Linked DNA regions of Astyanax mexicanus. The protein of the gene in region 4 purifies or fractionates together with the protein of the main gene of each other region. This does not show direct contact. Links are inferred from orthologs where the notes say so. Each region holds a gene or a part of one and is shown on either strand. Other genes may lie near its edges. The genes, in order: larp1, mkrn1, paip1 and pabpc4.

Region 1 (7,890 bases), on a different chromosome or scaffold from region 4:
AAGAGTTAAGGCAGTTCTGGAAAGTTATGGTGGCCACACAAAATATTGACTTTAAAGTTTAAAGGTCAACTCGGTAACGTGAAATTAGGACTTGGGGAACATTCATGTGCACCTGCCAAATCTGAAATGCAGCTCAAGTTTAGGTACTGTAGTGTTGAGGTTCTTATAGTAGACGTTGTGTTTGTTGTGTATATATAAATAAAATTGTAAATTTGTGAGAAAATCAGTGGGGAAAAAAGTGACTCAGTTGTGAAGTGACTCTCTGATTCAGTATCAGACTGAACTCTGATGAACTCGGTGACTCCGGGGCGGTTCAGTGATCAGTTCGGCTCCTGCAGTACAGAACCCCACCAGGCGACATGCTGCGGGAACGCTGTGCACGCGCACGTGCACGCTCTGCTCTTACCACGTGCGCGCGACCGCTACGTGCTCACGCCCCCATTCATTTTACGGGCGCGTGCGCGGCAACGGCGACGGCCTATTCGACTGAGCTGAAAGAACCGATTCTTTCTTTTAATGATTCAGTTCAGCGAGTCTTTGATTCAGAAGCTCACTGTGTTGTCTCCGGCAGGTGAGAGTAGATTCGGTTCAGTAAATGAGTCGAATGTGGTTTCGGCTCATTAATTGAGACAGACAATTCAAATAACACTACAGTACCTGAATGTTTAATAGATATAACATATATATTTTTTTTAACATTTAGCCGCTGGTTATTGCTTTAGTGCAGTTTTAGCATTTTTTTTACACTTCTACATATCTAACAATCACTGACATATTATTACAGTTAATATTCAGGTTTTCACGTGTGACTTCTGCGCAATATTTATGTAGAGTACTACAGTCCCTGCATTTAATGTCCCTTGTATATTCTTTTTATTAGATCTATATTATGATAATCTGACTGGAAATAAGTTTACCACTTAAATATTACAGTATTCTGCAAATTGTTAGAACCCAGTTCTGCTTGATTTCTTTAATGTAACATAATGTATTGTTGTATGTATTTGTGTAAATGTGGTAATTTGTATGTGTCATTTAGTTATCCTTTACAACTTCATGCATAACTGCTTTAACAATATTACATTATTACATTTATTGAATGTATAAAATTACATTCTAACATTTATTACATTATTAAATGTATTGCATGTATGATATTACATTATAATTTTATTAATAACTTTAAAACTAAGTAACACTTGCGGGAATGAGTTACTGTTGTTATATGATTTGTATGAATTAATATAGTAAAATCTTACTTTAGTTATTCTTTTATATTTTATGTAATGATCTTTTCTGATTTATATTTATATGTAATTAAACCTGATTTATCATAGATTTTAAATCGTGAATCGGCTCAAGTTTAACTGATACTGTATTTCTATCCCTAACCAAAAGTATAGTAATAATTCTGTTTTTTTATTGCAGTCTGCAAAACATGAGGGTTCTGTAGCAAACTGAAGACATTGTTAATACAATGTTAATATACTATTTGTGTAAATTCATATTAGAAGCATAATAATAATAAACTTTTTTTAAAAAAATCTTTTTTTTATTATATATTTTGATGTAAATAAATCTGCTTTTAATCACACTGATGCTTCAAAACACTTGACATTTAATCATTTTTATATAGAAATTAGATGTAATCAAATATTCTTTATCGTCACACAGACAGATGCTGTAAAACACTTTTTTACAATGCTTAATTTTTTCAGTTTTAATATAATAAATAGATTAAATTAAATATGCTTAGATTCCGAGTGGTTCAGGGGGCTAAGTGCTGCCACTATGATCAGGAGATCACCAGTTTAAATTCTGTTCATGTAGCTTGCCATCGACTACTGTCACCCTGCGAGAGAATAATAGACCTTGCTCTCTCTGAGTGGGTAGATGGCGCTCTTTCCTACCCCTAGGGTGATGTCGATTTGCACAAGGTGTCTGTGAGCTGATGTATCAGAACCAAGTCACTGCACTTTCCTCTGAGCACGCTGGATACTCGGCAATGCTGCATCAGCACAGTTCGAAAAGAGGCTGAGTCTGACTTCACATGCTTCGGAGGAGGCATGTGCTAGTCTAAAACACTCCTGGTGTTGGGGCATCACTAGTGATAGGGGGAGTCCTAATGAGTGGGTTGGGTAATTGCAGAGGTGAAAAGTAACGAATTACATTTATTCATGTTACTGAAATTGAGTAGATTTTATGAGTAATTTGTCATTTTTAAAGTAGTTTCTAAAAAAGGTCCTTTTACTTTTACTCAACTTCATTTTGACACAAGTAACTTACTTCGCTACATTGGAAAACTCCCTGTTACTGAGTAAAAATAAATTGCTGGGGGAAAAAATTGTTTGAATAAAAAAAAATTGGAGCGGATGCTCATGCGTGGAATAACGAAGCAATGACGTCCTCATACAATTCAAAATGTGCCCCGCCGGACAGAGCTGTCAGCTTTGAAAACTTCCACATCAAACCTGAGGAAGCATGTGGTGGTATATGTATATTCTAAATTCACTGGTTAGCTGTGGATTTACTTTACAAACACCAGTAATCTTCGTTCATATGCAGCTACACAGATTATACAATCTTCTGTATTTAGTAAAATATCCAGCGCAATAATAATCCCTTCATTAAAAATTGTACAACCGAACCTAACCTGTACAACCTTCTTTGACTGAATTCTGCCTTCAGGGTTTTCTGAAAAACAGCAAAGGTTAATGAAGACAAAAGGTGTTTGTTATCCTGTATGTTAATTAATTTACTAAGGTGTATTAACTCCCAAATTAAAAGTATATTAAATTCACTGAAAGCTGTATGAATTGCATCTGTCTGCGAATGTAATTGAGGCGAATATAACTTAAAACCCTTAGCTAATGATGATGGATTATATAGATCCCTTTTAGACATCAAACAATGCTAAACTAAACTGGAGACATATCAAACTGCCTAGGTTAGCTAACAAGTTAGTTAGCTAGCTAATCTACCTAACGGAGCTGCGCTACGTTACGTGCTTAATCTGCGTCCACAAACTGAGTTTATTAGAGAAATGCTTCATGATGTTCGCTGTGTTTATGTTCCGCTGATTTTATCACACATAGTTGTATACCTATATGACCATAACTTTTTAACAGTAAAAAAATGGATAATAAAAACCCTGTTCTTTAAAAATGTTTTATGGGGTGGTCTAAACAAATACTTAAGACCACCCAAATTATTATGTGGAATATTAGTTCATTAAAAACTATTTAATTTATGATTTGTTGTACTTTTTTACATTAAATAATTAAAAGTAACTATGTAACTTTTACTCAAAGTACATTTTAAATTTAGTACTTTTTTACTTTTACTCGAGTAGATTTTTAGATGGGTAATTTTACTTGAGTAGAATTTTAGCAAAGTAAAGCTACTTTCACTTAATTACAATTTTTCAGTACTTTTTCCACCTCTGGATAATAGGTCTTGTGAATTGGGGAGAAAAATGTATTTCATTATATATACATTATATACTTTTTTGACATTGTTGAATCTTTTTTTAATTATAAAGGTTGTAATCAAATATGCTTCACTATTTCACAGACACTATTAATTTAAACCACTTGATTTAGACACAGAATCAATTAATTTCTTTGATTTTATTTTCTTTAATCTTTTTTATATTATATTTAGTTGTTATCAAACATGCTTTACACTCATTACACTCTTCAACTTGTTTATTTTTCACAATGTATAGTATTTTAAAGTTAAATACACTTTATCTTCACACAGATGCTTCAAAAAACTGGATTCAGACTCATGAATCGAATCAAGGTTTGATTTTCTTTTTTACAATTTTCATATTTGTTGTAAACAAATATTCTTTATCATCACACAGACAATTCCAGTTAAAATCACTCGCTTCAGAAGCATTTATTTACAATATTATTTTTTTTATATTATAATTGAAAGAAATCAAATGCTTTATGCTTGTGAATTGACTCACATTTCTTTTTACAAAGTTGAATCTTTTTAAAATATAATTAGATGTAATCAAATATGCTTCCTCATATTTATCTTTACACAAGATTTATCTTTACACAAATGCTTCAAAACATGTATTTGCTTTAACACATTATTTTACAGTTTTTAACATTTGACAATTTTACAGTGAGGATATTTTATATAATTATTAGATGTAATCAAATGTGAATCAACTTACGCTTTATAAACTTTTTATGTTAATAATTTTATATTATAATCAGATGTAATCAAATATGCTTTATCATCACACAAACATCTACTTCAAAACACTAGGCTCTGACTCATGAATCGACTCAGGCTTTTCTTTGCACAATGTTGAATCTTTTTAACGTATAATAAGATGCAATAAAATATACTTTATCCTCACATAAATGCTTCAAAACATTTTTTTTTTTTACAATTTAACAGTTTACATTTGTTTAAATTTTGCAATCAGGTCATTTTTAATATTATAATCAGATGTAATAAAATATGCCTTACCATCACACAAATCCTAAAAAACACTCAAATATTTTTTTTATAATATAATTAGATGTAATCATGCTTCACAAGCGCAAACTTCCAATTTAAAGCATTACATACAACTGTTTAATATATTATAATTAGATCTAATCAAATACGTTTTATCATCACACAGATGCCTCACAAAACTTGATTCAGACTCGTGAATCGATTCACGCTTTTCTTTCTACAATGCTGAATCATTTTTTAAATTATAATTACATGTAATCAAATCTGCTTCATCATCGCTCAGACACGGCCGCTTACAATTCACAACATTCGACTCCGACTCGCGAGTCGGCTCAAGCCTTCCACAGAAAGGGGCGCAGTTCAAACGAACCGATTCGTTAGCGACTCGAACACAGGCAGCGTGCGCGCTCCCGTGAGTGGCGTGGTGGAGTTTCACCCAGCCTGGCGGAGATCATCAGCACGAATCTAGCTGTTTTTTTTTTTGAGAGCTTCATGATTGGTGTTCGATCCGGTTTTACATGTGTTGATCCGAACTCGCCACTCTGCGTCTTAGACTGAATCCTTTTGGTCTAGGGGTGGAGTGGAGGACCGAGCCGAGCCGAGTCGAGCTTCTGTTTTTTTCCGGAGGGGGTCGGAGAGCTCGGGAACACGTTTTTGGGCTGAGAGGGGGAGAGGAAAGCAGGGGAGAAGAAGGAAGGAGAAGACGGAGTCATGGCCGCTCAGGTGGAGACCCTCCTGCCGAGCAACCCTCTGCTGAAGAAGGGGGACGAGGAGCGTGAAGGCCCGCAGACGGAGCTCCAGCAGGCCGAGGGAGCGTGCGGGAGAGCCGGCCTAGAGCAGAGCCTCAAGCAGGCGAAGGAGGAGAGCAACCTGCAGGAGAAGGAGAAGAACATGACCATGGGCCAGCAGGACAGGGTGGTGGTGGTGTCTGGGTCTGAGAAGGGCGAGGAGGGAGAGCAGGGTGGAGAAGAAAGCGGCAAGAGGAGTAACTTTAATAAAAAGGAGTTTACTGAAGCACCTCCACCCAAGGTGAACCCCTGGACTAAGAAGATGAACGCCGTGACCGTGGTCAGCGTGAACGGACAAACACAACACAACGGTTGGTAGCTAACTAGCAAACTACCTAATCTAGCTAATTCTATCCTGTAGCTGACTCCATTCGTGTTTATTAACCTTTAATTTTTGCTATGTGTTCCCTAAAACCCCTCGAAACCACGTTAAACCTACTGGGTGTTGCAGAATCTGACTAAAACCTGGCTTAAACCCAGCCAAACCCTGACTTAAAGCATTTTTGGCTCGTACAGATCCAGAAAGTGAAAATCCACTCCAGTATTTTGTACCAACTGCCTGCCTGGCGCTTGTCGCAGCGAGAGCTAGCCCAGCAGTTGGTACGAAATCTTGGAGTGGATTTTACTTCCCCGGACACGGATTCTCCACCTCTAACCCATGTGTTTCATGTGCTTCTGAGATTCCAGCGTTTGGCCATTTCAGAGTTTATAAAATGACGATGAAACGTAAAAAATGCAACAACACCCTATGTGTTTCGCCTTTTTAAAATGAATTTCGCCTAATCCATTTATACCCGTCTTTAAAAACAGCAAATGCAGGCGTTAATCTGTTTAGACTGGTAGCTGGCTAAATGACATGTGGTTGTTAGCATAAAAGCTAGCTAGCCGAGCCCTGCCAATGATCGAGTCGCTTGAGCTAGCTTTAAATACCCCAGTTCTGCTGATTTCAGGGCAGATTGTAAAGGTATTCATCGGTCTGATTACAGGGGGTGACAGGGGATTTTTGATGGCATTAAAGCTGATTACCTGAGCGATAGGAGTGGGATAGGTGGAGTTTAGCATGCCAGCAGTAACGAAAACGGGCTGAAAGTATTGGCTTTAGCTTTTAGGCTAACCCCACTAGCTTGCTTTAGCTAGCCTGCTAGAAGCAGCTATGAACTATTGGCATTAGCTAACCTAACTAGCTTCCTAGCTAACAGAAATACATAGACATGCATCTTCATAAATGGTGATCATTATTTGCAAATGTATTGCATTATAAAATATGTTATAAACAGAACATATATTTTAGATAGTTTGTTACTTAACGTTACTTGAAAAATAGTCTGTAGGCCTCTCTCTCTCTCTCTCTCTCTCTCTCTCTCTCTCTCTCTCTCTCTCTCTCTCTCTTTTACACGCGCACACACATACAACTATAGCTGGTCTTGATATTGCCCTTACATTTTAAGTTAATACTGTAATAACAAAATGAGAATTGAGTTGCATGGTTATTCCATTATATCACCATTCCATCAGTGGAATAAAATACAGTGCTTTAAAGTAACAGGAACATTATTAGTTACAATAATTTGTCTGGAGCAATATATGTATATGACTAGGCTATCCTGTCAAGCCAAGTAGCATCATCAAGCTATTATATTATCCTTTTGGCAGTGACCTAAAATGCAGAATCTTAGACATCTTTTCAAACAATAATCGTCACAATATATCACCCTATGAAAAAATCATTACCGTTACATGCACTATACACAATGAAATATTAAATCAGATATGTAGAGTACGTAGCATATTCATAAGTTTGATCTTGTGTAATAAACAAGCCATTTTTGTATATTTATAATCTATAAATGTAAATATATTTAGTGTACATTTTAAATATATTTTGCACCATATGGGTAACTTAACAACTTATTGGCCTTTTATTATAACGTAATTGGCAAATAATAAAAACTATGTCTTTAAAGTGTAGGTTAACATTGGCTTTAGCTTGGTGGCATATAAAAATCGTACTGGCTATCATTATTAACTATTAACTTTTGTATACTGGCTTGTAATATTATTACAATGTTATTGGCAAATAATAAAACCCTTGGTTCTATAGTATAAGCTATCATTGATTTTGGCTTGGTGGCTAATAAAAATATTTTTTTTGTCTATAACAGTGTTGAACCATGAGCTTTCGCTAGCATTCTGGCTTATTATTGGTATTATTGTTGTTTTAATTATAAACTATTGGTTTGTAGTGCCTAGAACTGTAAAAGCATTGCCTGTGTAGTATGTGCTGGCTATTGTTATAAACTATTACCCTAAGTACATTGGCTAATGCAGTTAGCTAGCTAGCTAATATTAGCCAGTAAAATAGTAACCAGTGGTTAATATTATAACTTTAGCATAGCAGATTTGTTAGCACCCTGGCTGCTGTTGTACACCAGTGAATGTAGCATTCTGCATTAGCATGTTGCTAACTGGCTGCTTAAGGATCTCAGTCTGTAGCGAGAGTGATGTTGAGCTGTTAGCGGCTAGGTTAAGTATGTTAGCAATCTTAGCTGACATACTCCTGCCCTAAACAGGAAGCACTAAACTTTATTGTGCTGTAGTGTTTAAATTATTAATTTTG
Region 2 (6,852 bases), on a different chromosome or scaffold from region 4:
ATCTCATTTAGTTTTTTTGTTTTCTGATCCACCAGAATATGGTGAACCTGTGGTCTTGTGGACCACTTTAAGACACCACTGATTCAAAATATTAATGTTAATAGAGTATATTGTGGCGTGGAAGAGGAACGAAGACCCGTGAGACTCATGCTGAATGCTCAACAGCTCCTTTATTGAACCGGCTTGCCACTCACTTACAGTCTTTAACAAGACTAGGAGAGCTAAAACCATTACCCACAGAACTCTAATAGCCCAAAGGCCACCAACCCAGCCACCAAAGGCCACCAACCCACCAACCAGAACAGAAACATGCCTGCAGGCAGCCACACACACAACCCAGAGCCGCCACAATATTAAAAAAAGCACATAATATCCTATCATAATATGGCTTATTCCTATTTATCATTTCTACCTCTACCCCTTGTTCCTAATTGTCACCCTTTCACTTAAAACTGAGTTATAAAGGAAAGTGACAGAAATCTTCCCCCAATGAAAGGGAATAAAGTTTCAAGAACCTGATATGCTATCTAAATAAATAAGTAAAAAACAATACTGCTTCATTATCAGGCTAATAGCTAAAGAACATTGTGCAGTGACCCTGCCAGTCTGTTGTGATAGCAGAAGAGACATAAAATTGTCTTATATCTCTTGTCTGGGAAAAAAAAATCCACAAATATGAACAGTAGTGCTAAGAAATGAAAGTACAGTGTAATAATCCAAAAAGTGGTTTGTTGCCTGAGGGGCAACACCACACCATAAAGGGTTAAGGATGATGTTGTTGAGGGTACAATGTATGGTGGAATATATAGGCACTTGTAGACTATTCTTTATTCTAACTGTGTACATAAGAGGTTTTCCATCATAGAGCAGACCTGAGTGTTGTCTGGTTGACTGGGATTATGCTTCACTTCATTGGTACTATGATGTCAGAATTTCCGAGTAGGAAATTTCAACTGGAACCCTGACCAACCCAAGTTCAGAATCCAAGATGGCTGCATCACTCATTAACACAGATTATTAACAGTTCTTTGTATTTGTGTCTCACAGAGCTTAGATTGGGCCCAAATTTCCAGCCCGACCCAACCTGAGCCCATGGACGTTCTGCTGAAGCTCGACCCGACCAGCCCTATAAACTGACTTTGTTAGCCCAAGCCCAATTTAAACCCGACATTTTTTTTGTCAGTAGATTGCTAAAACGGAGCTTTTAAAGACATTTTTAGGCTGTGTGAATGAGCAAAATCTGTACAGAATGGTGTTAATTAAAATTGCAACACTAAAAAAGCATAGACCTGTTATTCAATAAAAATGTTTATTAATACATGTGCACAGTGCTTACTGCGCAGTTCCAGAGCTGCGAGATTATAACATTCTAACTTGTGCAACTTTATTATATTATATACTATATTGTTATTATCACGCCATAGCTTTATATAAAAAAAATACCATTAAAAAACAGACGCCTACTTCACAGACCATTTTCTTGAGCCTGACCCGACCCAGCTGGAAGAAAGTGGTGTGAAATCTACTAGTAAATAGTATTAATTAATATTACTAACAATACTAACCTGAGGCAATGCTAAAAATAATAATCTTGGACATAAAAGGTAAGATACATTTTGCATGGATTTGCCATAAAATGATAGTAATACATTGTCAGGAGTTTTTGGCTAGTGTTAAAAGTGGTATGCGGTCAACTTGCGTTTGACATTTTTCCCAGTTCTGACATCCAAGATTAATGGAACTATACCTTAGTTATATACCTTAATAAATTAATAAATCTCTTTTATAAGAAGGATAACCCATTAATATTTGTCCAATTTGCAGTTAATTAATGCATGCATAGAAGACAGACAGGTGAACAAAGCCTATAAGCCCCATTGATACAGAAATAGCCTGGGCTGCATAACAGAAGTGCCCTCTTTACTTTGCACCTCATCAGCAAACAGTGAGAAGATGAACACACTCAGAAGCAGGAATACAGAGCTTTTAGAGACTGCTTTAGACTAATTGGTTCTTCAGATCTCTTATAATAAAGACCAGTGGGAAAGAGTGAGCCGCTGTTGCCACAGGGACACACAGGTAATATTTGAACAGGTGTGTGATGACATATTGTAGAACAGTAGGTGGGTGTCACTTCTGTCCACAAAACACAGCTACTGAGCGGCTCTGGTGTAAAGCTCTTTTAAGACACATGGACACATAGCTTCTACAGCACCTTTTCAGCCTAGTGGGATGATTTCATTGCACCACACAACCTTGTCTCCTTCCCAGCTAACAGAGAATGTTATAAGAATGTTAAGCAATGTTTTGAGACGGTAGGGAGGTAGGGGAGTTTTCCATAACATTCCCAAAATAACGTTCAACTCATTCTCTTTTCCACACACACAGGATGTCTAGCATCTCACTGTGGGCGTCAGTCCATCATCTAAAACTCAACTGAAGCTTGAGATGACTTGTGATATGTCTTCATATCGATCCCTTAGTTTTGTTTAAGAACAATTATCATTTATCCTTAACAACTCATGTTAAAAGCCTGATGCTGTCATGCAGGTCTCTTCTCCGCCACATTCAAAACATTTAAATATCTCCATAGAGACTTTAATCAAAGCTTTAAAGGCACTAACTATATATATAATTTAGAGACCACTACAGTTTCTGAATCAATTTCTCTTGCTATTTATAGGTATATGTTTGAGTAAAATGAATATTGTTTTTCTTCTATAAACTACGGACAACATTTCTTCAAAAAAAAAAAAAAAAAATCATTTTAAGCATTCATTTGCAGAAAATAAGAAATGGCTGAAATAAGAAAAAAGGCCAGAGCTTTCAGACCTTAAATAATGCAAAGAAAACAAGTTCATATTCAAAAAAAGTTTTAAGAGTTTGGAAATCAATATTTGGTGGAATAACCCTGGTAATCACGTTTTTAAAGGCATTTTGGCATGTTTTCCTCCACCAGTTTTACACACTACTTTATGCTAATCCTGGTGCAAAAATTTAAGCAGTTCATCTTGGTTTGATGGCTTGTCATCAATCTTTCTCTTGATTATATTCCAGATGTTTCCAATTTGGTAAACTCAAAGAAACTCATCATTTTAGTGGTCTCTTATTTTTTCCATAGCTATATAAAGTGGAAGTGGAACGAAAATTATACAAAGTTTTCAAAAATTGAATCAAATAAAAATCTGAAAAGTGTGATGTGCAAAAGTATTCAGCGCCATTTACTCTGAAAACCCTAAATAAAATCCAGCACAATGCAATTACATATATATATATATATTACTTATATATTACATATTCATAATAATAATTAAATGAAAAAACTTCTTAACACTGTTTATTATAGTTCCTACATGTAAAAAGCTGCTATCAGTGCAAGTGGTTTATTGTTTATGCCGTTTAATTTCTATGTGTTACTAAGAAACTAAGAAGAAAACATTTATAAATTATTAAAATGTTCCGTTAAAAAAATGCAATGTTTTTTTTCAACGTTTTTAAACGTTTCAGTTGTACTAGATTAATCTGAACATGATGTATCTGTGTGGAGAACACTGTTTATTAGATGTAATCTAGTTCACTTGAAAATACGGTACAGCGTGTCCCTTTAGTAAGTGGTTGTGAAGTGCTGCGTTCCAAATCGCACATTCCTGTAGTACGGGGCTTTAGCCGCTTCACCGCCTAGGCTTAGCCGCACAAATACACGGCCCTTTCATATTTGCATAATAATGAGCTAGTATGCTAGTGCGTGGTTTGGAACGCAGCCAGTGCGCTGTGCTGCTGTAGACGGTCCTCTCCGGCCCCCTGGCGGCGAGCGCTGGGATCTGTTTCTGCTCTTGTTGCCGAGGAGCCTCCGCTCCAGCGCGCGGCTCGCCGGAACATCCGGCTGCTGGGCTTCAACATAAACAGCAATGGCGGAGGCAGCGGCGGCACCTACAGCGGCTCCAACAACGGCGGGAGGCTGGACGAAGCACGTAACTTGCAGGTCGGTGGAATGCGTTGGAAGTACAGGTGTTGTCGTGTTATCAAAATGGCCGTGTGTTTAATGCGGACACGCCGTGTCTTGGCTGTACGGAGCCGCTGAAAACAGCGTCTTTTGTCGGGTAGAGAAACACAGAGGGAGAGAGCTGGATGTTTGTTGTTGTGATAACTCGATAGCTGGGTTAGCTATCAGCCAGACTCTCCACAGTAACAGCGGAGTAAACACGGCTGCTGCAGTGTGTTCAGCCTAAACGGTGCAGGGAACACGGCTGAGCTCGGGTTATCTCTCAGTACGAGAACCAGAACACCATTAAATAACGTTTCTCTGAGCAGTTTACTCGTAGACAAGCAGCTTGTTTATGGCAAAGTAAAGAAGTGAAGACAAGGATATTATAATGAGTGTATGAGAGTAAGTTATATAAGTTGTCAGCTAGCTAGTTAGCTTAGGAGAGCTCTATTGTTTGTAGATAGCTGTAAATATGAGGAACAATAGCCTAAGCGACGATTATTGAGGAATGTCAAGCCCTCTATGTGTAATTTGACGCTTTTATTACTTATATGTTGTGAATAAAACAAAAGTCATTTTTGTAGCTCCCCTTTTAAACAATAGCACTGCTCACTGAAGAATTCTCCAACTGATTTAACCGAGTTATCTAGCTTAACCAGTCTGTTAGTTCAGCATGGCATTAAATACTTAAACTAGTTATCTATTTTAACAAATAAAAGTATTTTTGACGTTGTTCATTTAGTCCCCCATTCAGCAATGGCATGCTCTCCTATAGATTTAACTTAAAGATCCACAGTGATAAAGACTCTACGCATGTTTGATTTATAAGCGTCTCTGTTAAGGTTGCTCGTCCAGCTTGTTTATAGGTTTTCTAGGTTAGCTAACCGCACTATGAACTCAAACTAGTGAAGCCACACATGTTGTTCTTCTGCGAACATGCAGATTCGCATAATAACAGCAAGCTGTTAACGTTTCTGTTAACGTCTTGGTCCTAGGCCTATTGTTTTGTAGATGATTGTTAACGTTGGGAACAATAGCCTTAGAGACGTTTTTTTAGGAATGCCAAGTGCTTTAGGTGTTTAGTAAATAGATTATTTTATTATTTATTTATTCTGAATAAACAAACGCTATTCATGTATTCCTCCTTTACCAGCTGATTTTGGTGATTTTTGTTAGCTATTAGCTTAACCTGTCTGTTAAAAGTATGAAAATTAACAGTTTTGAGGCAGATTCTGATAAAGACACAAGTGCAAAGACAAATAAATAGGGGTTAATTAATAGAAATGCACGGATGTGGGAATTCTGGGCTGATGCGTAAATCCAAAATGACACATGTAGCAATATGCCAATGCTAATGCCAATATACAGGTGCTGGTCAACAAATTAGAATAATTTGAAATAGTGCAATCATGAAATTCTTTGAATGCATTTTTTTGTGCAGAAAGCAAATCAGGTGTTCACCGCACCTGTCCTACTCGTTAGACTAATCACAGAACTCGTTACCTGCAAAAGAATTTGCTCAGCTGAGCTTTCCAAAAGGCCCATTTAGGCCATTTAACCGTGACACTGTTGTTTTATTGAATTAGAATAATGGAGAAACCGTTTCATTGAATTAGAATAATTTTTATTATAATTACAATCATCACTTTCTCAGTATTTTGTGGCTGCCCCCTTGGCTTGTATGACTGCCTGAAGTCTCCGCGGCATCGATTTGACCAGCTTGTCGCAAGTTTCCGCACTCACAGCTTCCCAGGCAGTGGCGATGTTCTGCTTCAGTTGGTCCAGCGTAGTAGGCTTTCTGTCGCGAATTTTCCGCTTGACGATGGCCCAAAGGTTTTCAATGACATTGAGGTCAGGCGAGTTGGCCGGCCATGCCAAAACTTCAAGCTGTTTTTTAGTGAACCAATCTTTGGTCGACTTTGCCGCATGAGCCGGTGCAAGATCCTGTTGAAATATGAAGTCTTCTTCGCCTAACTGTTCCTCAACAGTCGGAATCAGGAACGTTTCCAGAACATCTTGATATACGGCAGCATTGACAGTCTTCTTGAGGAAGCAGAGTTTCCCTACACCTCGAGCGGACATGCATCCTCAGACCATAACGCTCTGGGGAAACTTGACGGATCTTTTCACGCACTCGTGGCTGTAGGTTTCGCCACCACGACGCCAGACACGAGGACCTTGGTCACCGAAGGAGATGCAGAAGCGTGATTCGTCACTGAAGACCACTTTCTGCCAGTCTTCAGCAGTCTACTCGCCGTGTTCTTTGGCCCACTTCAGCCGTTTCTCCGAGATTTGAAGCCGAGTTCGCGCAGACAATGGTAAGTGGTTGATCTGGAGACGTCAGCGCCGGTCTGCTTGTTCCACAAGTCGGTGAGCTCGGAAGTGGACTTGAACCGGTTGCTGACTGCGATCTTTCTCAGCTGCTTTTTGTCGCGAGCAGAAGTTTTTCGGACGCCGGAACAGTTGGTGCGCTTGCTGCAGTTTTTCTTGAGAGCTTTGCAGATGGAAGACTGGCTGATGCCGAGCTGCTCAGCAATTTTAGTTTGGGTCAAGCCTTGTTGGCGAAGGGCTTGATTTTGAGCCACTATTCCGGTTGAGAGGTCGCGCTGCTTACCCATGATTGATTTTACAACTTAGAAATTCTACTCAACCCTGACTTTATACTGCACAGTGAACACTCTTCACAGAAAACAAAAATTCGAGCATTTATTCTAATTCAATGAAACAACAGTGTCACAGTTAAATGGCCTAAATGGGCCTTTTGGAAAGCTCAGCTGAGCAAATTTTTTTCCAGGTAACGAGTTCTGTGATTAGTCTAATGAGTAGGACAGGTGCGGTGAACACCTGATTTGCTTTCTGCACAAAAA
Region 3 (7,994 bases), on a different chromosome or scaffold from region 4:
CTGACAGCTGAAATCTCTGAGCTTTTTGCATCCTTCCCCAAAAACATGAAAAATCTTTGTTTTCAATTCATTTTATAGTTGTGTTTTGAGGCTGCCATGTTGCCACTCTTCAGAGAAGATGTAAAGAGGAGGAAAAACTTGCAATTGGCTACATGAACCCTTTCTGATAATTAGATTCACTTGTGTATGTAGGTCAAGGGTCAATGAGCTTACCAAACTAATTTTGTGTTCCAATAATTAGTGCTAAATATATTCAAATCAATACAACAAGGGTGCCCAAAGGTATCCATCTGCCTATTTTTGTTTAAGGAATAATTACGCACTTTCTGTAAAAAATAAAGTTAATTTTACTTCTCAAATATCACTGTGTTCGTCTGCTATATGATATATTTAACTGAAATTGCTGATCCCAACAACCAATTTCATTCGTTATTGCCTGCAATGGATGCGACAAGTGCTTCCATCATTCCTGTGTAGGAAACCCACCTGAAGAAGAGGAGTTCCTTTGCCCATTATGTAAACATTAAATTGCATATACAGTATATTGACCTCCTAAAAAGTGACTGAGCTAATTCAGGTCCAGGTAGTTTGTCCCAGTAATCTCACAATTAATTATATGGAGTTCAGTGATGAGAGCTTTCAGACTGGTGTCTTTATACTGCACTCAGCTGATCCCCATTTCACTAACTGAGAGACTAGTAACACCAACTACCTGAAATTGGATAATTAATACTTTTATACAATCACTTACGTTTTATATATCTATACACTGACATTTTGTGTATTTGACCGTTTAAGCCAAATGTGATAGACATTGTACTTTTATTTTATGTAAATAAATGTGTAAACCCTTCAACCAACCTTGTTTAATGGTTCTTTTTCATTGTCTCCGTTTCAAACTGCAAAGTTCTATGTTTAGAACACAATATTATTTCAATCTTTGTCATTATAAATCACAGCACATAAAAACAGATGGAAACTGTCCTGAAAAGAATGAGTATATTTAGGTCAATAAATATGTTTACTTTTTGTATTGTGAATAATTTGCTTTAGTAATGTAATACATTTAGCAAACAATTAGTCTTTGTCTACTCCAGGATTTTGACATACTCTAAAATAAGCTTTTTTACTTGTTAATGAAATAAAAACCTATTGCCATGCAGTGGATCTTGATAATTATCCCCTACAGCTGTGACATTCAGGGGTAAAACTCTTGTTTTCTTGACCTAAGATAACTAGTCTAGATAACTAAAATAACTAGACTTAAGTACAAGTCTTTTTAGAAAACATGTTTATTCTATGAAATGTAGGAGTTTACAAAACATACAGAACATTAGCTGGTGGAAAAATAAAATCATAAAATAAATCATTCTCCAATATTAAAACATTCTACATGTGGTATCTCAAACAAATATACATATAATACTGTGTAGAAAGAGGATCACACAAAGTAGCCATAGAGTGGCTTACATACACACACACACACACACACACACACACATATATATATATATATATATATATATATATGTATATATGTATATATGTATATGTATGTGTGTGTGTGTTTATATATATATATATATATATATATATATATATATATATATATATATATATATATATATATATATATATATATGTGTGTGTGTATGTATGTAAGCCACTCTATGGCTACTTTGTGTGATCCTCTTTCTACATTATATATATATATATATATATATATATATATATATATATATATATATATATATATATATATATATACACACGCTAATAAACACATACAAACCAGTTAACACATTTTTTAACAGCACATTTCCCCTAGTTTTGGTAATATGCAGTACTTCGCACGGTCACATTCTAAAAAACAAGACACAACAGAATGTATGTTAGACAAAATAAAGCAAAAAATAAATAATTCAACATTAATGATAATGTTACATTAGATATTGGTAATCAACATGTATTTGGATGCCAAATACATCTAAACTGATTAAACTGCACTGACATGAATTAACAGCCAGAAAGTCCAGGAAAGGTAATTAGATATTTATATACCCATATATAAATATAACAGCTAGCCAACGCCAGTCTGTTAAATGGGGAATCTGGCAATAGCATGGTGTACGAACCTCAATAGTTACATACACAAGATATCTAACTAACTAAAACAGAAATAAACTGATTTCGTCAGTCAATAATAAACCACAGAGATAAGAGGACGCTCTACATATCTATTAAATAGCTAATTTACTCACTGTTTATTTTCATCCAGTCACCCAGTCTCAATGCCAGCTACCTAACAACACATAAAACACCTCACCTAAACTGGGCTAAACTAGACTCAAATAACGTAACCTCACCTTGCCTCACATCACTTCACCTAAACTAACCCAAACTAAGATAAACTAGGCTTAACTAAGCTAAAGTAAGCTAAACTAGCCTAAAGTAAGCTAAATTAGGTTTAACTAAGCTAAACTTAGCTAACTTGACCCTCTCCTAACCTAACGTAATTTCGCGCTCTGAGCCACTTCCAATCATGAACACACAACCATTTCAACAATAAACACTAGTTTTAAGAGTTTTTACGAACGTGAGGACGAGTAAACAAGTTATAGTTTACTTACGACTGTAGGAGCTGTGTTCTCCCAGCAGCTGCCACGGAGCTTCTCCACAGGTGAAAAAAGACGCAGCTCCCACAGGCTTCAGAGCTGTGTTGTGATTGGCCGCTGTGAGCTCGATTAGCTCTGCGCTTGATTGGTCATTCTGTGTACCCCGGATGTTTCCCTGAAATTTTTCGACCTGAATTTTTTTTACCTGAATTTTTACAACTTGAATTTTTATAACCTGCATTTTTTCGACCTGAATTTTTATAACCTGAATTTTTACAACCTGAATTTTTAATCCCTGAATTATTTTTTTGCTACATGATTTTTTTTTTTACTTAAAAATTTTGTACCTGAATTTTTTAAAACAGTCCTTATCTGAAATTTCAAGACCTGAATTTTAAATATCTAAATATTTGAAGGTAAATTTTTCAAGAACACCAGATTACACACTCTTTATTTTCAAGAATCATGTTTTTTTGTTTCAGGTTCTGGTGACACTGATTTAACTCCATACAATATAATCAAGCAAAATTAAATTGTATATACAATTTAGAATTTATTGTAATGCTAATATTTTTTTTACAAAACAATTCTTATTAGTTTGTTTTATGGTGATCTTGTGAAAGTAAGTTTGAATTTTGGTCACATTTTCACAATCTGTAATAAATTTATAGAACCAATTTTAAATGAAACCCAGCACGCACGGATTGATTTATGTACTTCAGTCAAAAGACAAAAAACTGAAAGTTTTAGTCTGTCGGGTTTGTAATTGGCGATCCGATAAAATCAACCAACTGTGCTACACAGGTAACATTTGTGTATACGCGGCTCTCTCTATACGGCTCTCACGCACGGAGAGCCGCAAGGCTTTTAGGCGGGCCCTCCTATCAATCTCTGATCTGATAATCTAATCAACAATCCCCACCTCCAACAATACGCACCACCAAAAAATAAAAATAAAATAAAACACCCCCGCCAAAAAAAACACCCCCCCAAAAAGCTAAAGTGGCAAATAGCTAAAGTGTTAATATTTGGGTGAAATAAGTCTTTAAATCTGTAAGCAGTTAGCTAAATTTAGCTAACTGCTTACAGATTTAAAGACTTATTTCAGACTTATTTGGGTGAAAAAAAACTTTAAATCTGTAATTAGTTAGCTAAAGTAGTAATATTTGGGTGAAATAAGAATTTAAATCTGTAAGTAGTTAGCTAAAGTAGTAATATTTGGGTGAAATAAGAATTTAAATCTGTAAGTAGTTAGCTGAATTGATAATATTTGGGTGAAAAAGCCTTTAAATCTGTAAGTCGTTAGCTAAAGTAGTAATATTTTTGTGAAATAAGTCTTTGAAAGATTAAGTTAGATGACTTACAATTTAAGTAACCTTTATTCTGTGTTCCTAGTGCTTTACAGTATGCTGGCTTGAAGGTACAGAGTTCACTCTTTAGTTTATTGTATATATTTATATTCTATTTACTTGTTAATTTCACTGTAAAGCAATTGGATTGCACTTGTGTATTAAATGTTTGCTATTGCCTTGCCTTTTGTTTGTTTATTAATTAATTATTTGATTGTACCAAATAATAAAAACCTCTGGAATATAATCAAGAGGAATATGGATGATCACAAACCATCAAACCACCAAACTGAACTGCTTAAATTTTTTGCACCAGGAGTAAAGCAGCATAAAGTTATCCAAAAGCAGTGTGTAAGACTGGTGGAGGAGAACATGATGCCAAGATGCATGAAAACCAGGATTATTCCACCAAATATTGATTATTTCTGAACTCTTAAAACTTTATGAATATGAACTTGTAATCTTTGCATTATTTGAGGTCTGAAAGTAAATAAATGCTCAAAATGAGAATATTTTTATTTGTAATTTGGGAGAAATGTTGTATGTAGTTTATAGAATAAAACAACAATGTTCATTTTACTCAAACATAAACCTATAAATAGCAAAATCAGAGAAACTGATTCAGAAACTGCTATAAGTAATATATTAGTGTTTAAATGTTAAGTTATATATTAGTAAATGTGTGTTTTTAGTGTGTTTTATGGTAAAGAGCGGCTGCAGTTGTCGGCAGGGCTCCAGCAGTAGGTGGCGCTGCTGTTCGGCGGGTCTGCAGAAGCTCCGCGGCTCCAGAAGAAGCGCTGGGAGGTGTTTGTAGTCCAGATTGGATCTGTAACCGGAATATTCAGTAAATAAATAAGATCTCCGGCCCCCCGCTGTGACCCCGCCGCCCGCGCGCCCGAGATAGCACACACACCGGACTCGATCAGCTTTAATCGATTAATCTGACCAGACTCGGGTCCGGCGGATGATCGTGTGAGCTGTGTCCGCCTCTGCTCGCTCTCAGCTCGGCCATGGCGGAGAGCTTTGACCGCGCTCCCGGAGCGGAGAGGACCCGGGGGAAGGCCGGCTGCCCCCCCGGCGTGAGAGACGCTTACCCCGGCCGGCAGGGCGAGGAGGACCCGGGGGCTTCGGTCTTCAACCAGTGCGAACCTCTCAGACAGCCCAGGTGTTCTATCATTTCATCCTACCCATCGAGTGGTCCTACCGAGGCTTACTGCGCATGCGCACATCATTTTTACGTCAAATGACGATGGTTTTCGGGTACGCCCATAATTTTATCCTACCTGGATATAAGTACGGTGAGTTAACTTGATCTTTATAATGTTTTAACGTCTATTTAATGTTCATTGTTTGCTTTAAGCTTACTATATGAACTAGGCGTCATGTTAATGTCTGCAGGAGTGTTTTAAACGTGTACATAGAAGAAAAAAATACCTTGAGTGGTTAAAAATGGTGCGGTTAAGTTCAAAACTATTCAATGTTTGTAACGTTAACGTTACTCACGGTGGTTTCGGTAGTTTGCGCTTACCCACGTGTAACTACGAGCCTTACCTCATTAATTTGGTGGGCTCAAGAGCACAAATATATTCAGAGGCTGTTTTAGGGCTTTTGAGCAAATACAGGTACATTAGTCTGGAGTTAAGACTTGTCTTTTAGCCTGATAAATGTACACAGAAGTTAGCTAGCCGAGTGAATTAAAGCTAGCCTTCTAGACACGGTTAGTTGAGCCTATTGTCTACGAAACTGAAACTTAAACAGGCCAAACCATGAATACTTAATATACAGTAATATAGTATAATATATATATATATATATATATGTCTGTGTGTGTGTGTGTGTGTGTGTGTGTGTGTGTGTGTGTGTGTGTGTGTAAATATATATGTGCATATATTTGTGTGTGTATATATATATATATATATATATTTCTATTATAATAGAGTGGTATTATCAGTGCTTTTTGAAATTGTTTTGGACTTTAAATTGACCCTTTTCTTCCATCCATCTTCCGTGATAGCCATGGAAAAGAAGTGGGAAACAGTATACAATCTTCTGTCTTCGGGATCATACCCATCAGACTTTGACAAATCACAGCGGCAGAACCTTCTGAGATATGACTCCAATTTTCAGATAAAGGGTTAGTTTGTATAAGCATCTCTCTTTTTATGATCTCCTTTTTGCTCTCTCTCTCACCCACACACACACTCAGATGTATAGCATATATATGGTGATTATGTTCAGAATTCAGAATTACAAGCAAAAACAGTACTCCCTTCATTAAAACTATAGGTAGGATAATTCGATAGCCTAATTATGATCATAAAACAGTACTTCCTTCATTAAAACTATAGGTAGGATAATTCGATAGCCTAATTATGATCATAAAACAGTACTCCCTTCATTAAAACTATAGGTAGGATAATTTGATAGCCTAATTATAATCATAAAACAGTACTCCTTTCATTAAAACCATAGGTAGGATAATTCGATAGCCTAATTATAATCATAAAACAGTACTCCTTTCATTAAAACCATAGGTAGGATAATTCGATAGCCTAATTATGATCATAAAACAGTACTCCCTTCATTAAAACTATAGGTAGGATAATTTGATAGCCTTAATATGATCATAAAACAGTACTCCTTTCATTAAAACTATAGGTAGGATAATTCGATAGCCTAATTATAATCATAAAACAGTACTCCTTTCATTAAAACCATAGGTAGGATAATTCGATAGCCTAATTATGATCATAAAACAGTACTCCCTTCATTAAAACTATAGGTAGGATAATTTGATAGCCTAATTATGATCATAAAAGAGTACTCCCTTCATTAAAACTATAGGTAGGATAATTTGATAGCCTTAATATGATCATAAAACAGTACTCCCTTCATTAAAACTATAGGTAGGATAATTTGATAGCCTAATTATAATCATAAAACAGTACTCCCTTCATTAAAACCATAGGTAGGATAATTTGATAGCCTAATTATGATCATAAAACAGTACTCCCTTCATTAAAACCATAGGTAGGATAATTTGATAGCCTAATTATGATCATAAAACAGTACTCCCTTCATTAAAACCATAGGTAGGATAATTTGATAGCCTAATTATGATCATAAAACAGTACTCCCTTCATTAAAACTATAGGTAGGATAATTTGATAGCCTTAATATGATCATAAAACAGTACTCCCTTCATTAAAACCATAGGTAGGATAATTTGATAGCCTTAATATGATCATAAAACAGTACTCCCTTCATTAAAACTATAGGTAGGATAATTTGATAGCCTAATTATGATCATAAAACAGTACTCCCTTCATTAAAACCATAGGTAGGATAATTTGATAGCCTAATTATGATCATAAAACAGTACTCCCTTCATTAAAACCATAGGTAGGATAATTTGATAGCCTAATTATGATCATAAAACAGTACTCCTTTCATTAAAACTATAGGTAGGATAATTCGATAGCCTAATTATGATCATAAAACAGTACTCCCTTCATTAAAACCATAGGTAGGATAATTTGATAGCCTTAATATGATCATAAAACAGTACTCCCTTCATTAAAACTATAGGTAGGATAATTTGATAGCCTAATTATGATCATAAAACAGTACTCCCTTCATTAAAACTATAGGTAGGATAATTTGATAGCCTAATTATAATCATAAAACAGTACTCCCTTCATTAAAACCATAGGTAGGATAATTTGATAGCCTTAATATGATCATAAAACAGTACTCCCTTCATTAAAACCATAGGTAGGATAATTTGATAGCCTTAATATGATCATAAAACAGTACTCCCTTCATTAAAACCATAGGTAGGATAATTTGATAGCCTTAATATGATCATAAAACAGTACTCCCTTCATTAAAACCATAGGTAGGACTGTAAAATCTCATTGATAATCTAATAAAGTATTTAATTGTATTATGTAGATGGAGATCTGTTTTTTGGGAATCAAAGAAGGGTTATTAAAACCAAAGAAGAAGCCATGTTGCTGTTCCAGGAGTT
Region 4 (7,102 bases):
AGCTGAAGTCTGTCTTCTGGAAAACAAGTTTGTTAATTTTGCACATTTGGCTGCTTCTTCTTCCATCTTCTTTCTTTTTTTAATATGGCCTTTTCGGCTCCACCTGGCCTCTTTTTACCCTCCATCACAGTCGTCTGACGCTTTGTGCTATTCTGTTGCTGCATTTAATTTGATCGCTTCAGAAAAGACCACTCGTGGACGCAACCAACTCAAACATTTGGGAGAGGAGAATTCCCTCAGATGGTTAAACCCGACGTAGGGGCTGTGTTGTCAGACGAATAGAGAGTGCATACGTAGTTGAATGGCAATGAATGCAAGAATAAGATTAGAGAAGTGAGGGTAAATAATTTTTTCCGTCCAACCGGCCCAAACTCGCCCCGGCCCATCGGGAATAAAATTATATTAATAATAATAATAGTAATAATAAAAGTGTGTGTGTGTGTGTGTGCAGTTTTAAAAAAATCTACAAAATATTCAGAATGCTAACTAAAATAGAATATGTCAAAATAATGTCAATATTATTATTATTATTATTATTATTATCATTATCCTATATTAGACTGTACTATTTATTTTATTAAAAATGTTTATTCTTTAAATTAATAAAATATTTTAGTTACTGTCACCAAGAACATTATTATAAACACACCCTGTAGCTAAATGGCCTAACAAAGTACTACAGTATATTAACCTAACTAAAATAGAATATGTCAACATCTAATAATACGTACTTGTAACTTTCTGACAGGTAATATTCTCACTCTAATGGTAACCTAATCCTAATCAAATATTATATACAGTTATCTTTCACTAGTGGCATCAAATATTTTCTAAGGTGATGTTATCGTAAAACAGTACTGAGGGAGCTGTGCTGAGCTGTGAAATGGTAAATTCATGTGCGTTGTGTCTGACCCGTGTGTGTAAACCTGTGTAAGGAGAATGAAAATGAAGATTTGTGCAAAAGAAACACTCATTCATAAATTCGTCAATTAAATTCTGAACGACGGAATTAATGCGTTGCTAAAATATATCATAGAACCACACAGCCATACTTGAAGTAGCATAGAAAATGAATGTGGCTTATTTTAGACCCACGCTGCCCGTTTGAGCGGCAGCGATACAAAAAGGGCTTTTATTTAAAAAGTAAGAAAGCAAAAAATAATATAAGGATGTACCATGATCAAAAACAATTTAATTAAGGAATACCTTGAATACTGAATGATTCGGAATATTACGATCTCATAGTGAACAGTTTTTATTTTTTTAAGAGTGACCCTAAAACGTATAGAATCTCTACACAGATCTGCTAAATGTGTTGCTGGATTTTGTGTGTCCGGTTGATTTCCTAATTTCTCCATTTATATGCTGTGGTGGTCTCTGTATTGCGCGTTTTATTAAAATCCCCAATGCCTTCGAGAGAGAGAGAGAGTGTGTGTGTGTGTGTGTGTGTGTGTGTGTGTGTGTGTGTGTGTGTGTGTGTGTGTGTGTGTGTGTGTGTGTGTGTGTGTGTGTGTGTGTGTGTGTTGGCTGGCTCAGGTCTTGCAGCATCAGACAAATTAAACATGATTACTAAATAGGCCAGCAATGAAAGAGTTGATAAAAAATAAGTACATTTGATTACATTTTGTTATGTTTTAATCAGGGACTACATTTTGCAAAGCCCAGTTTAGCCAGAAATACATGAATCTAGCACATCTAATAACACAGCAGACATTTGAAGCACTTGGGGGCTTTTATTTTAACAGGAGATATAGTTCCCTGACAGAGTCAGAGGGCTGAACTGCTTGGAGAAGGAGGGGATATGTATATTCTGTCCGTTTTTGCATATGGAACGCCTGGAGGCGTTATGAAAACGCGTGGTGGCGTTATGTAAGCGCCTGGCGCCGCCACACGCTCTTAAACGCCTGGCGGCGCCTCGCGTTTGTTCCAAGGCGTAAAAGTAAGCCCTGCACGGCGTTTTGGACGGCGTTTTTTAAGTATTTCGCACGCTTTAAGCGCCGTCAGACCCAGGCGAATTCTGACCCATTTGGCTTGCCATACACCTACAGTTACTGCTACACACACACGTGCTCCACTACAGAAGCAGTCTGCTGAATGTCCACCACACACAATCAGAGCTCCATATCCCCCACCCACCTCAAACAGCTGAACACACACACATACACACACACACACATGTGCTCCCAACCATCACAACCGCACAAACGGAACACACACACACACACACACACACACACACACACACACACAACCGACACACACTTCAGCCTGCAGCGTGTCCGTACATACCGTCCGCCGGCTGCTGGAAGTTGACGTAGGCGTAGCCGAGCGAGCGGCGCGTGATCATGTCCCTGCACACGCGGATGGAGAGCACGGGGCCGGCCGGACTGAACTTCTCGTACAGCATGGCCTCCGTGATGTCCGGGTGGAGGTCTCCCACGTACAGCGAGGCCATCGGGTAGCTCCCCGCGGCGGCCGCGTTCATAGCGCGAGGTCCTCGGTGTCCGGCTGAAAACGGAGCGGCGGAGGAGCGCGAGGGTCCGGGCTGAGTGTGTGTGTGTGTGTGTTAGTGAGTGTGTGCGTGTAGCAGAGGGAGAGAGAGAGGGATAGAGCTGTTTAGCCCGGCTCCGCTGCTGTTACCTGTGGTAAAGTTTCCGAGCTAATAAAAAAAATTATAGGTGGTCCTGAAAAAAAATAAAAACCAAAAAAATAAAAATAATAATAATAATAATAATAATAATAAAAAAACTTAGAATAATTAGTCCCGGAGCGCGCAGAGGCCTGTTCTGACTTTGAGAGAGAAAATAAAACGCTTGGTAAAAATTAAAAAATAAAAATGTGTTGTTGTTTTTTCCTTTTTTTTTTTGGTTTAGTCCGCGAGGTGTTGGTTTTTTTATGAAGATTTTCTGTATTTTGTAATTTTTATATGTTTTTTATTTTTTTAAGGTAACTAAAGAGGAGTGAGTTACACACTCACGGTTGGGTGGCCGGGGAAAGAGAGCGCGTGGGAAACGCATGGGAGCTTTATAAGTGCAGCAAGGAGCGGTCACACACACACACACACACACACCAAGAATGCGCTGTTAAAGGGAGAGGGACGCTGCGATCTGTGACAGCTGTTCTGTTCCCTCAGCCGCCTGCACAACAGCGCCCCCTGCAGGCAGATATCTGAGCTCTCAGGTCACATGGTCCGCAGGCAGCGGAGAAGGTGGACAGTAATACAGTATATAAATTAGTCGTGTCTTTTCTGTTGACAAATTCATCATATTACACTCTGAGAACTTTCTACTGCTTTTTGTAATAAGTACATAAAGATTTAAAAAATATTTTTTATTTTTAAATGATTTAGTTAATTACTTGAATTTCTTGCCTCTTTGAGAGCATCAGTAAAGTTGTGAAGAGGTAGAGTTGGTATTCAGTGAAAAGTTTTCTCTGATGCTCTCACTGAATAGCCCTATTTGAGTAATGCTATAATCCATATGATGGCAATAACTACTTTACTTAGTAAAGAAAAAATGATTTAAGAAATAAAGGTCAGTCAATCCCAAAAATGTAATATCTTTTTGAAAGCATCCTCAAGTGCAGTCACTCATCAGAGCGCCCCAGGAAAGAAAGAGCAAGAGTGACCACTGTTGTATGGGATAAATTAATCAGAATTACCAGCCTCAGAAACTGCAAATTAACAGCGACCCTGATGAAAGCAACTAAATGCTTCACAGAGCAGGTGGTAAAGTTTCCAATCTAATAAAAAATAAATAAATAGGTTGTCCTGAAAAAAAAAGAAGTAATAATGAAAAGAAAATAAGAAAAAAAATAGTCCTGAGCACACAGAGACCTTTTGATGGAGCACTTTAGAGTATGTTTTGTTCAAATCTCTGCCCTAGTATTTTATACTCTGTCTGGCCAAGAAAAAAAAAATCACCACTTGAATTGATCTAGGCTAATCATGTGGGGTTGCTGCAGTTTGTCAGGTCTTTTTTATACACAGTCTATGGTCAGGACACATGGGCCACAGGCAGTGGTAAGGGCCAGTAATACAGTATATTTACAGTATATATGAAAAAAGACAGGAACATGAGTCTAGTCATTTGTGGCACTGGACACAACCAACAAAAACAATCTGTGTGTATAGATAGTGTGTGTATGACACCACTTTCTGCTGCCCTTCCTCCTCCTTCTCCAGGTCAGGGTTCTTTTCCTTCTCCATTCTTTCCAGCTTATGCTACTTTTCGGTCAGCATCCAGGAGCTTCTGAGAGTCCAGTTTGGCCCAAAGCTCCTCCACAACGCAGTCTGTCGTTCTGCAGTGCATTCAGCATCAGTCTTTGGCTCACACCTCTTTTCCTCAGTCTACCTGCTGCTCTATCCTTCATCTCCTCAAGCTGCCCATTCCCTCTCTCCACATCAGATATGCCATCTTTATACTAACTATAACTTAGTACAAATACAATGCACAAAAACATTTACATCAAAAGTTACAAAGAAAGGCATCATTTCTAGATAAATTAGTTAATCACTGAGGTGCTGCAGATACCTTGTCAAATATTCATGCATCAAATCAATATGTTAACTTATAAAAATTGTTTTTGTAAAATGAATAATTTAAGGGAACAAATCTGACATTTAGATTTTTGGATAGTCTACGCCTTTAAATGCAATGGGTAGAGGTCTAGATTGCATCATTGTATAATATTCACACCCTGACGGGATCTAAATAGTGCAACACTGCTATCTAGTGGGCAGGGTTTAAAACCAATTAAGCAACGAACGAATGAATGTCTTCATGTTTACCAATTACAATGGTGTTCTTAGAAATATCGCAATAAGCTATTTAAACACTTCTTTTGGACACCTTGTTCAACTTCAGGTCACAAAATGAACAAAGTCTTTCATCAGAAGTAAAGGAATCAACATAATGAGTTTGCAAATTTGCATTTTATTTACACAGTTTAAGCTTTCATGGTTGTACAGCAGTACTTCAGTCAGGTCACAACATCTTATTCAGCTTCCTGCAAGCACAGAGAAAAGGAAAGGTCAGTGTGTAAACAGGACAAGAACCAAATGTAACCAATATTATTGACAGTTGGAAACGGTAGTTTTTTTTTTGCCATTCAGACCTTATTTTAGCCATTGATGTACAAAAAAAAAACAAAAAATCTAAACTGTATTAGTGTAGTTACTCCAAGACATACCAGCATAGTAGCACATGGTCAACTAAAATTAGAGGACCACACTACAGGTGTTAAGCATCTGAGGGGTATGTAACTGCAATAGAGGATAGTCCATAAGGCATTGAGCCATACGCAGTTCAATGTGAAGCCCTTAAAAAACACTTACACTTTAAATTTAGATTTTAATTCATTTATTCCGAGATATTTTAAGTTTAAAGTTTAGCTCAGTAAAGCACTTTAAGACTTTTTTCAGCAAGATACCCTTCTTGTACAATTGTGCTTAAAATACAGAATTTTGGTTTGGCTCTGGCTCCCATGTTAACTATAAATCTGGTCAACAATTACATCAGCCCCAGTACAGTGCACAAACAAAGGTTTGGGCAGAAAACTACCAAAATGAAAGTTTAATGTACAGCAAAACGTCATTACCTCATTAGCGCCATCAGGGAGGACACCAGTTCTTTCTTAGCACTCAGTTTTGCCGACTCCTCCCGATCATCCAAACCAGGCGTCCCCTGCTCTTCTGCATAGTCAAGTGAGCTTGATTCATCAGAAACTCCCTTAAAAGTCAACTCTGACTTCTTCAGAAACTCAGGCTTATCCAGTACATCTGCATTAGCCTTTTTAAACAAGAGTTCTGTGTGAGAGACAACCAGAACATCACCTTCATCGTGGTCTTCAATCAGTTCTGGAACATCACTTTTTTGCACATCATACATAGAAGCAACAGAGTTCTCGCCTGAGGAAACCTTCTCCAGCTGTGGCTCTCTAAAATTTGTGAACACATCACCCCTCAGTTCCTCCTCAGGCTTGTCAGGAAGGCTCTCCAAAGGTGGCTGAGGAGCTTCTGCATAGTGTCCACCACTCGGTAAATGTGGGGCATCAGCCAGAGGATACCCATCAGCCATGCCCAAAAGTTCTTGATATGCAGGTTTAACTGCTGGAAACACCTGCTGTGGATCTTCTCTCTGCAGACTTGCTTCAAATTTGGCTTCTGGTTTCCTCCAAAACACATCAGCTGGAACGCTGCTTTGACCGGATAGAAGATCAGCTCTACCCTTCCTCTGAGGATAGCCAATTTCTATCTCAATGACTGGGCTAGACTGAACACCCATCATAAGCCCTGGTAGCAAGAGTGACAAAGCATCTCCTAGGCCTCGGCCTACAGCCAAATCTGCAGTTACAGGTGATGTCTGCCAGGGGGAGCGGTTGACCTTAGGGCTGCCAGACACAGATGCTCCAGAGACAATCCAACCCTTTCCAGTTGAAGAGGTCAATGCTCCTGATGGAGACGCACCAGACAAGATCCAGGGTCTTCTATTGGAAATGGTGGGAGTTCTGCCAGTCAGCGGCTGCTTCTCAAGTTCCTGTTCCTTGATTGATAGTGGACCAGTGCTCACCACTGCTTTGAACTCTGAAAACAAGAACATTGCTTTAAATAACATGCTCAGTCCTGTTACAAAGGACTACAACAATGGAGGGGTCAGATCCACAACTGCATGGCAACTACAGTAGTTTAAAGTTGATAATTTACTTATTTGTAGTTTCAAGCATACAGTGTGGATTAAAACAAATATTGCAAAGAGACAATTGGCTAAGAGAATGATCACTACGTAACAACGCAATAGGGATGGGACAAAATAATCAATATTGCAATACATCAATATGTGGCATCAAATATTTGAAACTGATGCATGAGATGCAGTATGACCCTCATCCTTACCAAATTACTGCAGTTTTTTGATGATTGAAGTAGTGATGTAAACATAAGTAGATTGGATTAAAAATGGAATGGACATTTCTTGGTGCACGTAAACTCTTAACTGGAGTATTCTGGGATTAGTGCATGAGTATTAGCCGACTGGCGCAACCAATAAATACTGACCACCAAAAGAAGCCGGATATTCAGAGGGGTATCTGCATTTTGTTGCAC

What was found.
Region 1: the proteins of pabpc4 (region 4) and larp1 purify together in Homo sapiens (affinity purification with mass spectrometry; 3 studies listed by BioGRID and IntAct, with this or other methods). This does not show direct contact. The link is inferred for Astyanax mexicanus from reciprocal best matches to the Homo sapiens genes PABPC4 and LARP1.
Region 2: the proteins of pabpc4 (region 4) and mkrn1 purify together in Homo sapiens (affinity purification with mass spectrometry; 3 studies listed by BioGRID and IntAct, with this or other methods). This does not show direct contact. The link is inferred for Astyanax mexicanus from reciprocal best matches to the Homo sapiens genes PABPC4 and MKRN1.
Region 3: the proteins of pabpc4 (region 4) and paip1 purify together in Homo sapiens (co-immunoprecipitation; 3 studies listed by BioGRID and IntAct, with this or other methods). This does not show direct contact. The link is inferred for Astyanax mexicanus from reciprocal best matches to the Homo sapiens genes PABPC4 and PAIP1.

Annotation. Positions count from the first base shown.
Region 1 is NC_064424.1:34,118,815-34,126,704, forward strand, and holds the start of larp1 (la-related protein 1), read left to right. Parts: upstream 1-4,883; 5' UTR 4,884-5,196; coding exon 5,197-5,584; intron 5,585-7,890. UniProt on the Homo sapiens protein: RNA-binding protein that regulates the translation of specific target mRNA species downstream of the mTORC1 complex, in function of growth signals and nutrient availability.
Region 2 is NC_064409.1:10,277,089-10,283,940, forward strand, and holds the start of mkrn1 (probable E3 ubiquitin-protein ligase makorin-1), read left to right. Parts: upstream 1-3,827; 5' UTR 3,828-3,908; coding exon 3,909-3,982; intron 3,983-6,852. UniProt on the Homo sapiens protein: E3 ubiquitin ligase catalyzing the covalent attachment of ubiquitin moieties onto substrate proteins. These substrates include FILIP1, p53/TP53, CDKN1A and TERT.
Region 3 is NC_064429.1:12,542,639-12,550,632, reverse strand, and holds the start of paip1 (polyadenylate-binding protein-interacting protein 1), read left to right. Parts: upstream 1-4,974; coding exon 4,975-5,113; intron 5,114-5,119; exon of another isoform or gene 5,120-5,262; intron 5,263-5,978; exon of another isoform or gene 5,979-6,098; intron 6,099-7,918; exon of another isoform or gene 7,919-7,994. UniProt on the Homo sapiens protein: Acts as a coactivator in the regulation of translation initiation of poly(A)-containing mRNAs. Its stimulatory activity on translation is mediated via its action on PABPC1. Competes with PAIP2 for binding to PABPC1.
Region 4 is NC_064421.1:41,826,774-41,833,875, forward strand, and holds the start of pabpc4 (polyadenylate-binding protein 4), read right to left. Parts: upstream 3,018-7,102; 5' UTR 2,486-3,017; coding exon 2,290-2,485; intron 1-2,289. Other genes in the region: zpcx (zona pellucida protein C), read right to left, coding at 4,986-5,007, 5,599-6,583, 7,055-7,102.